Linked DNA regions of Cricetulus griseus. The protein of the gene in region 2 interacts with the protein of the main gene of each other region in a pairwise test. Links are inferred from orthologs where the notes say so. Each region holds a gene or a part of one and is shown on either strand. Other genes may lie near its edges.

Region 1 (2,838 bases), on a different chromosome or scaffold from region 2:
TCTCTCTCCACACACACACACACACACACACACACACACACACACACACACACACACACACGGTGGAAACTGGTGTGAAGCAGAGTCACCATGGAGCTGTGGCACTGGACTGATTTTGAGCCTGTTTTTATCAAACATCTATAGTTCCTTGTCACCTGACATGCTCACAGCAGATCAGTGGACAGATGACTGTGCTTGTGCCCTTGTTCCTCCCTGCTCTCCTGCCTCTCTTACCCTCTCTAGGAAGGGAGGGTGTTGCAAGACAAATACCCTGAGAATCGCTGGGTTAGGTCATGTGCAAACAGCAGATGTCCAGGCACATGGGTGTCTTGCCAACCCTGTTTTACCCAAGCCTAACCCACCACATCTTAGTGGGGCACCTACTGTGAGCCATCTGTCACAACCAAATGCTGGCTCACCTTCTAAGAGGTCACATCTCTACAAGCCACCTTCCTGGGCTGGCACCCAAAGAGGCCAGATGTGCACTACGGCCTGGTAACAGACTACAGTGCCCCAGCTGAATGGAGGTGTGCCATGGGCAGGCTCCTCTCCTTCAGCAGAGCCAGGGGAGGACTGAGGATAGTCAGAGGCAGTGGCAGGAGCTGGCCATTGCCCAAAGATTGGCAGGTCACTTGGCTCTGGCTCCCTTCCAGGTACTATCTCACTACCCCTGCAAGGACCACCAGAGGTCCAATTATCTTGCTTGGTGATGCCAGCAAGGATGCACAGTGCCTCTTGCAGGCTTTGGAAGGTTCACATTGCCCGGTGACTCCAGAAGAAGGCAGCCAGGTGCTGGTCTTGTAAGCCAGGCAACCCTGGTGGGGATGACCCATTCACCTTGACCTTTCTTTTCTTCCCAGAATGCACATTTTGAAGCAATCCAAGCTCTGGGAAGGAAGCTCTGCACCCTGGACCCCTGCAGGAGGTGTGGCTGAGGGCAGCACTCATCCCTGCTCTGCTCTCTCTGCTGCTGGCCATTATAAGAGCCTGGAGTCCTGAAGAATAAAGACCCCACACTCAGCACAAGGCTGCTCTGATTGCTGAGACCTCTGCTCTTGTGTATATTTCTGTCATTCTTGGGGTGTTGGTGGTGAAGGGTCACATTACACTCAGGACAGGTTATCTCAGGGTCATGGGGAACTGACCCTAAGTTCCTGCAACACACTGAGAGCCAGAGCCTCCAGCCAGGAGCCCTCAAGGCAAGCTTCTGAGTTCCCTCTATTGCTGTGATGAAACACTCTGAGATAAATCAACTCTGGGGAGGAAGGGCTTATCTGGCTGACCCTTCCAGGTCACAGTCCCATCACTGAGGGAACTCAAGCAGGAACTTGAAGCGGAAACCAGGAAGGATGCCTCCTGCTGGCAATCTTGGTCTCCTGCTCAGTTGACTTGCTTATAAATCCCAGAGATGGTGTGACCCAAGGTGGGCTGTGCTCCTCCTCCTCCTTCCTCCTCCTCCTCATCTTCCTCCTCCTCCTCCTCCTTCTTCTTTTTTTTTCTTTTTTTTGGTTTTTCAAGACAGGGTTTCTCTGTGGCTTTGGAGGATGTTCTGGAACTAGTTCTTGTAGACCAGGCTGGTCTTGAACTCACAGAGATCCTCCTGCCTCTACCTCCCAAGTGCTGGGATTAAAGGCATGCACCACCAATGCCCGGTGGGGGTTGTGCTCTTCTACATCAATGAACAAGACAGACAATCCCTGCCCCAGTCCCAGGAAGGCCCATCTGATGTCAAAATGCCCTCAGCTGAGACTGCTTTCACATGTGACTCTAGACTATCAAATTGAGTTAGAGCTAACCAGGACAGCAGGCAGGTAGATCCTTCAGCAGCACATTTTCTCTTTAAGCTGAGAAGGTAACAAACCAACCAACCAACAAACAAAAAACATCCCTCCTACAAGATTTACAAATCCTTTACATCTTTCTTATTAAGAAAGCATACTATGAAAAGCACCTACTATTCTGTCCTTGTCTGTATTCATCTATTTAACATCTGCCTCACTACAGGTGCACCCTGCTTTTAATAGGCACAGAACAAGGGTCTGCATCTCACATCCCTACCCAGTGCCTCAGCTGTTTGGTCCCCCACCTTCATTTCCTTGTGTGTCTTTCTCTGCGCCCACTGTGGGATTTCGAGTTTGGAGGCTCCTGCTTGTGCTGCATGGCTGATCCTTAGCTCGGCTCCCACAGGGCACCCTCTGGAGGCCACATCATCCATGCTACTCTATGTCCCAATTACACAGCACAGGGGCCAGAAAACATTGCTTCTCGATGAGCTGGGGTTCCATGGTTTCTTCTCCTTGGAAAAGGCCTTGGTCCCCGTGCACTTGGAATGATGACTCAATGTGATCTTTGGGAATTGAAAAGCCCCAAATCAGCTTTTCACATAGAAAGCCTATCAGACTGACGGGTAGAGTGACTGTCACACCCCAGATGCACAAGGGAAACAGTAGGTATCCAGCCCTCATAAGACAGCAAAGTCTGGAGACAGATGTTTGAGCCTGTATGATAGGCAAAGCCCCCTGTCTTTCTGGCACCTATTTGCTTTTATAAAGATTTATTGGGAGCAGGGCCAGTATTACAGTGTCCAAGTGGGACACTGTTATCCAAGTGCAGAATTTTGACACTTTGTTTGTTGCCTCTCTCTGCATTACTTTTGATGTTTTAAATGCTGATATCTAACTTGATGGCTGGTTTTCTGTACATTTCCATGCAAGGTGAATAGTTTACATAGCACTTCAGCCTAGTCCCTACCCTGCTTAGTGACCTTGGACTTGGGAACTCCCACCTTCAGAGCTCTGGGCAGCACATCAGAAGTGAAGTGTCACTGCCCTAGGCTCA
Region 2 (4,087 bases):
CCTGACAGCCTGAGTTCAGCCTCTAGGACCCACAGAGTGGGAGAGAACAGTTGTCCACAAGTTGTCCTCTGACTTGCACATGTACAGCACACATGTGCCCATATACTACACGAAACAAATGTTTAAAAACATGCTTTTAAAGACAAAGGTTAAAATCAGAACCAAAGGTGGGCTCCTAAACGCATCCTTCAGGTTTTTATAAACAGTTCAGCAGAACTCTTAGCATGTTCATAAGACAGTCTGATCTGCTGTTCGGTTTTGTTGCTCTCTCATTCTTCCATCTAGAATAAAGCCATTGGTGCTATTTAAAGTGGGTATGCCCTTCCTTTTGGCTTCCCTTCCTGGGGTTCACCTTCCTAATGCCTGGCCACAATCATTCAAAGTGTTTTTCTTTCCACTTATCAGCAGTGAGACTGGTTGTCTGTGGGGAGTCTCTGTTAGCTCTAGGAAGGGGATAGACAAAGTGGGCATCAACTTACTGGTAAGGAAAGACCCACAGTCAGGTCCAAATCAAACCTTCAGGAAGACTTGGGGTTCTGAGATGTACAAGGGCAAGGCAGGGCAGAACGGGGGCAAGTCGGGGAGCCTCACTCACCTTGTTGTACACATTAAACCACTCAGGGTGGTGGTCCAACTTTTCCGCCTGAAGGGCCACTCTTGTCATGAAGCCAAAAGCCTGATAAAAAGAAGGAAGACCCAGACCTTGTCATGGCCTAGATACAGGAGGATAGCCTAGCTTCTTCCAGAGACTTCTGGAGCTCTAGTCCTCTCCCCTGTGACATCCTGCCCCTGATCCTGAGGCCTGTGATAATGTTACTAACATCCTCTATGTGGTACAAACAGCACAGACTGTTAGTATTTGCCAGTTTTTTGCTGTTTATTGAAGTGCCTTCAGAAGGACATGTGCTTGTTATCCTTTGGAGAACTGTCCTTCAAGGACTTCGAGTTCCAGGAAGGCAGGGTCCAAGGCCCTTCTCTTTGCAGGTCACTTGGATATGTATTTCCCCTTGCCTAACAGGACATGGCATGAACACGGAGTGTGCCCTGGTAAGCCCCCAACTCCACATACCCTGTTGAAGTCTTTAAAATGGAACTGTTTGAAGATGGCATCCCGGCCTTCCAGTTCATTCCACCCCACAGCCCTCAGATTTGGCAGCAGCTGGTCCCGCTCCTCCGCACTCAGCCTGTGTGCCTTGCCAGCCTAGAATAGAGAACAGAGGCCCCGGGGCATTTCTATTATAGGTCAAGAACATAACCCAGACCTTTGGGAGGAATTCAACTGGTGCTGGCTGCGGTGGATATAAGCGCCCTGTAGCAAGCAACAGACGTATAGGTTTTCAGAGAAGTGTCCTGCCAGGAGGCGGGGTCTGGGCTGGTTTACTGATAGGCTCTTGGGTCCTATATTTGGTTTGGGGTTTTTTGTTTGTTTGGTTTTTGGTGTATGTGTTTGTGTGGGTGTGTGCATGTATGTGTGTAGAGGCCAGAGGAAAATGTCAGATGTCATTTCCAAGTATCATTTGCCTTTATTTTAATTAAAAATTGTTTCATTCAAATGTTTTATGTGTAAGGGTGTTTTAGTCTTCACATTCTGGTGCCTGAAGAGGCCAGAAGAGTGTGTGGAATGCCCTAGGACTGGAATCACATGTGAGCTGTCACGGGAGTGCTGGGAACCAAATCCAAGTCCTTTGGTTTAGAAGCCAGTATTCGTAACCACTGAGCAACTCTCTCCCCTTATTTTTTTAGACAAGTTCTCTCACCAAGTAGGCTAAGCTGGCCTGCATTGAGCCTCAGCGATCCATCTATCTCTGCCCCCCCAATGCTGGGATCATAAGTACAAACTAACATTGAAAAAGCTCTTCCTCAGGTAAGAAGACCTGTTCCAGGCCAGCACTGGGGCCTACAGACCCATCACTGGTATGTGTGCTCTCACAAACAAGGGGCTCCACCTCATCACTCTCCTGCACTGACAAGGGATGGTTGTAGAGAAGACAACAGAGATTTCACTGTGGTTAATCAGGAGGTCTTTCCAGATCTGGTCCTTCCGATGGTTGATAAGCTGGCCCCTTGTAATCACATATCAACCAGGTATCAACAGGGCACCAGAACCCACTGAGTTTTGTTTGTTTGTTTGTTCCTCCCAAAGGAGTGGTGAGTATAGGTGGACTGGTGGGGATGTAGGGAGGTGTGGGAGAGGATGGGGTGGTACTTTCTCATTAGAGTTTTCCAGAACCTCCAAGTCTTAGAATGACAGCGCTCTGAACTCTGGGGTCAGAAGGGTAAGGGCCTTGTTTGCTTAGCAAAGCTCTGTCAGCCTCTGGCAGTGTGGGCCCAGGGATTACTGATTATCCAAGCCTGTGTCTTTGGTCCCCAATGACCATTCCCAGGCCACAGCTGCCAAAATGCCTTCCCAATCCCCGACTGTTCCAAAGGAGGTGCACAGAACTGTGTTGTTTGGGAAGAGTTGCTGTGTCTAGCACCCCTTTCCAAAGGACCTGACCCATCTCCACACCCAGGTGGGACACAGAATTCCAGCTAGGTGCTAGGGCGGGGCGCGAGGCCGGGGACCGCACTGGGGTGCAGAGAGAACTGAGCCAGCAAGATCTAGCACCCCAAGGGACCAGCTAGCCTGTAGGGTCAGGACCAGGCCATGGAGATCCGCCTTCCTGCCACACCCAGCCGGAGCCCGCCAGCAGACAGGCCAGGCTCTAGTCTCTCCAGGCCTGCCACCGCTGCCACCTCCCCTATCGGCACCCCAGCACCCCTGAGGGCAAAGTGACCCTAGCCCGACGTGCCGACACTGCCCGCACCCTCAGCATCGGAGCCCTCGCCCCACTTCCCGATCCCCGCTTAGGGTCCGCCATACCTCCTGAGCTTACCATGTCCAGGGCGGGTAGCAGGTGGCGGCAGAGAGGGAAGGGAGAAGGAGAAGCAGCCGGCAAGCAGCAGGCCACCGCGGGGGCGGGGCAGAGATCCGGCCGCTGCTGGGTAATGATTAACGTGGGTCCTCCTTGCTCCACGCCCTTCCAGCGCTTTCTATGCCCTGGGCTCTGTGAGCATGGCTGCGTGATGGGCTCCAGGGCAAAGACTTTGGCTCCTCACGCTGCTGTCTGTCTGCTGGAGGACTCTGAGTGCCAGACGGCCTGACCTGTTGTTATAACAACGACAAAGACAAAAGCCACCCAGATAAATGTGACACACACTGAATTGCACAAAGGTAAAGTGCACCGTTGTAACCTTCCTGGCAGAAGAGAGGATATCTAAAGGGAGACACTGTGTCCCTCCACTGAACTTGTCAGACTATTGAAACAATGGACCCCCAGAAATCGAAATTGCCCTAGGAATCTTGTTAGGAGAAGGAAAAGGCTGAGATCTGGTGCCAGCCAGACGAGAAACCTGTCTACTAAAAAGATTTTATAGCATTCTGACAACTTGCCAGACCATGTTGAAGGTGACCAATCCTTCACTGCAACCGCTTAGTTAGGCATTCTCCTGCCCTCGAAGATGAACTTGAAGGATCCTGGACCTCTTGGCTTCTCTTCCCAGTGTGGCCGTATCGAATACAATCACCACCTTGTTCTGCATGCCACTGTTTTAATTTTCAAAACGATGTATGTATGTATGTATGTATGTATGTATGTATGTATGTATGTATTATGTATGTGTGAGTTCGTGTGTGTGTGTGTGTGTGTGTGTGTGTGTGAGAGAGAGAGAGAGAGAGAGAGAGAGAGAGAGAGAGAGAGAGAGAGAGAGAGTTTATGTGCACAGTATGCATGTGGGTGCTATGGAGGCCAAAAGGGAGCATTGGATCCCTTGGAAATGGAGTTACATGCTGTTGTCAGCTACCTGATATGGATGCTGGAAGCCAAATTCAGATTATCTGCATGAGCTGTAAGAGCTCTGAACCTCTGAGCCATCTCTCCAGCCCCTCTGCGATGACTTGTCTCTTTAGTTGGCACAGAGACAACAGGTGGCCGGGTCTGGCTTGTTAGGGCTGCCAGGGCCCAGGCTCTGACCCTAACAACTCCAGTATCAGGGTGAGACATATGCTTCTCTTAGGAAACCATAGATGAGGAGCATCAGCTCTGAA
Region 3 (3,570 bases), on a different chromosome or scaffold from region 2:
TACCTCCTGCCTAGCTACTGGCTAATCAGCTTTTTATGACACCAATCACAGCAATACAGCTTCACACTGTGTACAGATAGCCCACAAGTCTACCAACCCTACAGTCTACCAACTACAGTCTACCAATCCTATAGCCTACCAACTACAGTCTACTAATCCTACAGCCTACCAACCCTACAGCCTACCAACTACAGTCTAAACTACAGTCTACCAATCCTACAGTCTACCAACTACATTCTCCAATCCTACAGCCTACCAATCCTACAGCCTACCAACTACAGTCTACCAACTACAATCTACCAACCCTACAGCCTACCAACTACAGTCTAAACTACAGTCTACCAATCCTACAGTCTACCAACTACAGTCTACCAACTACAGTCTACCAACTACAGTCTATTAACTACAGTCTACCAATCCTACAGTCTACCAACTACAGCCTACCAATCCTACAGTCTACCAATCCTACAGTCTACCAATCCTATGAGGAAGGCATGATGGGAGTGACTGTTCATGGCAGCAGGAATACGAGACAATTGTTCCTCACATGACAACAGTCTGGGAGAACACAGGCTATAACCACAAGTAGGTACAACCTTCAAGGCCCATTCCCACTGACACGCTTGTACCAGCCAGGCCTCGGGTCTCAGAGGCTCCACAACCTCACAGAATAGATTCACCAGCTAGGGACCAGGAATTCAGACACAGAAGCCCGTAGAGGACTTTTCACACACAAACCATTATAGATCCCAAAACAAAAGTTAGACAACTATATGTCCACAGAGCTTCTGCCACAGACAGAATAACATCCATTCTCAAAAGATCCTTTTACTAATGACTGTCATGGCCTTTCTCTAGAGTCCTTTCAACTCTGCTTCACCACAGCATACTGGTTACTCAGAGGCCACAAGGAACACTGCATCAGAGGCTCTTAGGTGGCCAGCTTACCCAGATCACAGGTCCATTCCCAGGTCTTGCCTGCTGTTTCCAAATAGGTACCTACAAAACAGAGGACATTCGTGAGTCTCATTCAAACCCGTCTAGATTCTTTATACCACCAATACACTAGTAAGTAATAAACTATTCCTTAGTGGACTGGGGAGATGGGACAGCAGATCTCACACACTGGCCGCTCCTGGAGAAGACCTAGGATTGCTCCCAGCACCCACATGGCAACTCACACACTGGCTGCTCCTGGAGAAGACAGAATGCTCCCAGCACCCACATGGTAGCTAATAGACATCTCTAACTCCAGGTCCAAGGGATCCAAGCCCTTCTTCTGGCCTCTGCAGGCACAGTGCACACAAGGTACACAGACCTGTATGTAGGCAAAGCACCTGTAAACATTTTAAAAAATTAGCCAGGCATAGTTGCACATGCCTTTAATCCCAACACTCAAAAGCAGAGGTAGGTGGTCCTCTGAGTTTGAAGCCAGTCAGGGATACATAGTGAGACCCAATTTCAGGATAAATAGATAAATTAAGTTAAATTCTGAAGTCAAAAACGTTTCTGTTTCTAAGCAATCAAGGTGAAAGAATAAAATCTAAACCCTACGCGCAGGCACCCTGCACAGTGAGAGTTCACAAGAACTGAAGATACTGCAGTGTTCTCCAGAGAGCAAGGGGCCTGCACCAGGAAGCAGAGGCCAGGCGGGGTCAGTCCTCAGTTACTCATGAGCCCTCTCTGCATCTCATCTTCTTCACGGATTAGGTGGAGAAAGTTAGCAGGTCACGGAGGCTCGTGCCTGAAATCCCAGCCTCAGCTATGTGATGACTGTGAAGCTAGTGGGCTGAGATACATGCGACCCGTCTCCAAAACAAAAGTAAAGTCAATAAAGTAAAACAGAGAAAGTCGTTTAGACCCTGCCTATTTCATAGAACTTCTAAGAGCCCCGAATGAGGCAACGTCCACAAAAGTGTTTGGAAATCCCAAAGGGCTACTTCTAATGCTCCCTGAAAGTTTACTCCAGCTCTATTCAAACTTCAGACACAAATCTTTACTTCAAATCAGAGTTATATGGCTTAATTATACAATTAAAAAAGCCCCAAGCTAGACACAGAGCATGCCTATAAACCCAGTACTCAGAGGGTCCCCACAAGTTTGTGCCCAGCGTGGTCTACACAATGGGTTCCAGGTCAGCCAAGGTCTACACTATGAGACTCTGTTGCAAAAAGCAAGTTGCTTGTGCATTCTACATAAACATGCCATTACATACTTCATTACCTACAAGCAAGGGACCAAATTCTCCTGAACCAAATCTAATGAAGAAAAAGAAAGCTGTTTGAAAGGCTGCTGTTACAAAGCACATTTGAGAACAGAATAGCTTCCAGACTGCGCTGAGCTTCTGATGTCACCGCCATCACTCACCAACTTACCATCTTCTTCTCATTTGATATGAAGACAGCGGAACACTCTTCCAAGGGATACTGGTCATGGGTTTTGATGTATTCACAGAGCTTCCAAATGTTCTCCTCGCTAAAATAAAATAATTGTTTAATCCATATCATTGGAAAGGACCTTAACCACCTCATCAGAGAGCTGGGTAACAGTGACTCTCCTCTAAGGCACAGTCAACAAGCTGCTAGCCAACCTGTACTGTGCACGCATCCAGACAGAGGACCACACCCACTGAAGACTATGACCTGTAAAAGAGTGTGCCAGGATTCCAGAAGCTGAGAAACCATTGGGATCCAAACTCAACACTAACAAGAAAAGCAGCTTTGTATTCTGTCTTCTCTAAGAACCGCTTGTCTCCTCTATAAAATGCACGTTTTCACGTACACCATAACCCTCCAGAAATCCCAATTAATAGAGAAATGTCACAGGACTTTTTTGTTTGGTTGTTTTGGTTATCAAGACAGGGTTTCTCTGTGTAACTGACCTAACTATGCTGGAACTCTCTCGGTAGACCAGGCTGGCCTTGAATTCAGAGATCTGCCTGCCTCTGCCTCTGGAATGTTGGGCTTAAAGGCGTGCACCACCACCGCCAAGCTCTTGACAGAATGTTTTAAATTAGATTTGATATAGAATTTAGTCCCTTAGTTGTAGCTGACAAACTATATGATGGCATCTTTATGCAGACTGCGTCCCCTCCTTCCCTCCCTCCCTCCCTCTCTTCCTTCCTTCCTCCCTTTTTGAGACAAATGTCTCATAATGTAGACCTTGGCTGACCTGGAACTCGATGTGTGGACCAAACTGGCCACAAACTTGTGGTGACCTTTTGAGTACTTGTGAACTACAGGCACGCTCCATGTGTGGTTTAGAGCCTTGTTAATTGCATAATTAGAGACAGACAGACATGAGAGACATACATACACACACTACATACATACATGCATGCATGTTTCCAAGCACTCAACGTCAAGGTGAAGGCGTGTGAAGCCCGCTCCTAAGCGCAGGCACCCTGCACAGTGAGAGTTCACCAGAACTGAAGATACTGCAGTGTTCTGCAGAGAGCAGGGGGCCTGCACCAGGAAGCAGAGGCCAGGCGGGGTCAGTCCTGTCCTTCCCATGAGATCTCTCCAAATCTTTCCTTCTTCACCGATTAAGTGGAGAAAGTCAGCAGGTCAC

Evidence for each region.
Region 1: the proteins of Pcbd1 (region 2) and Tff3 interact in binary tests that used the Homo sapiens proteins (3 or more experiments, as listed by UniProt). The two-hybrid records come from large-scale screens. The link is inferred for Cricetulus griseus from reciprocal best matches to the Homo sapiens genes PCBD1 and TFF3.
Region 3: the proteins of Pcbd1 (region 2) and protein N-terminal glutamine amidohydrolase interact in binary tests that used the Homo sapiens proteins (3 or more experiments, as listed by UniProt). The two-hybrid records come from large-scale screens. The link is inferred for Cricetulus griseus from reciprocal best matches to the Homo sapiens genes PCBD1 and NTAQ1.

The regions. Positions count from the first base shown.
Region 1 is NW_023276806.1:259,488,061-259,490,898, reverse strand, and holds the end of Tff3 (trefoil factor 3), read left to right. Parts: intron 1-2,187; coding exon 2,188-2,333; downstream 2,334-2,838. UniProt on the Homo sapiens protein: Involved in the maintenance and repair of the intestinal mucosa. Promotes the mobility of epithelial cells in healing processes (motogen).
Region 2 is NW_023276807.1:344,727-348,813, forward strand, and holds the start of Pcbd1 (pterin-4-alpha-carbinolamine dehydratase), read right to left. Parts: upstream 2,862-4,087; coding exon 2,808-2,861; intron 1,202-2,807; coding exon 1,070-1,201; intron 677-1,069; coding exon 596-676; intron 1-595. UniProt on the Homo sapiens protein: Involved in tetrahydrobiopterin biosynthesis. Seems to both prevent the formation of 7-pterins and accelerate the formation of quinonoid-BH2. Coactivator for HNF1A-dependent transcription.
Region 3 is NC_048603.1:29,479,142-29,482,711, forward strand, and holds part of protein N-terminal glutamine amidohydrolase, read right to left. Parts: intron 2,476-3,570; coding exon 2,376-2,475; intron 1,000-2,375; coding exon 949-999; intron 1-948. UniProt on the Homo sapiens protein: Mediates the side-chain deamidation of N-terminal glutamine residues to glutamate, an important step in N-end rule pathway of protein degradation.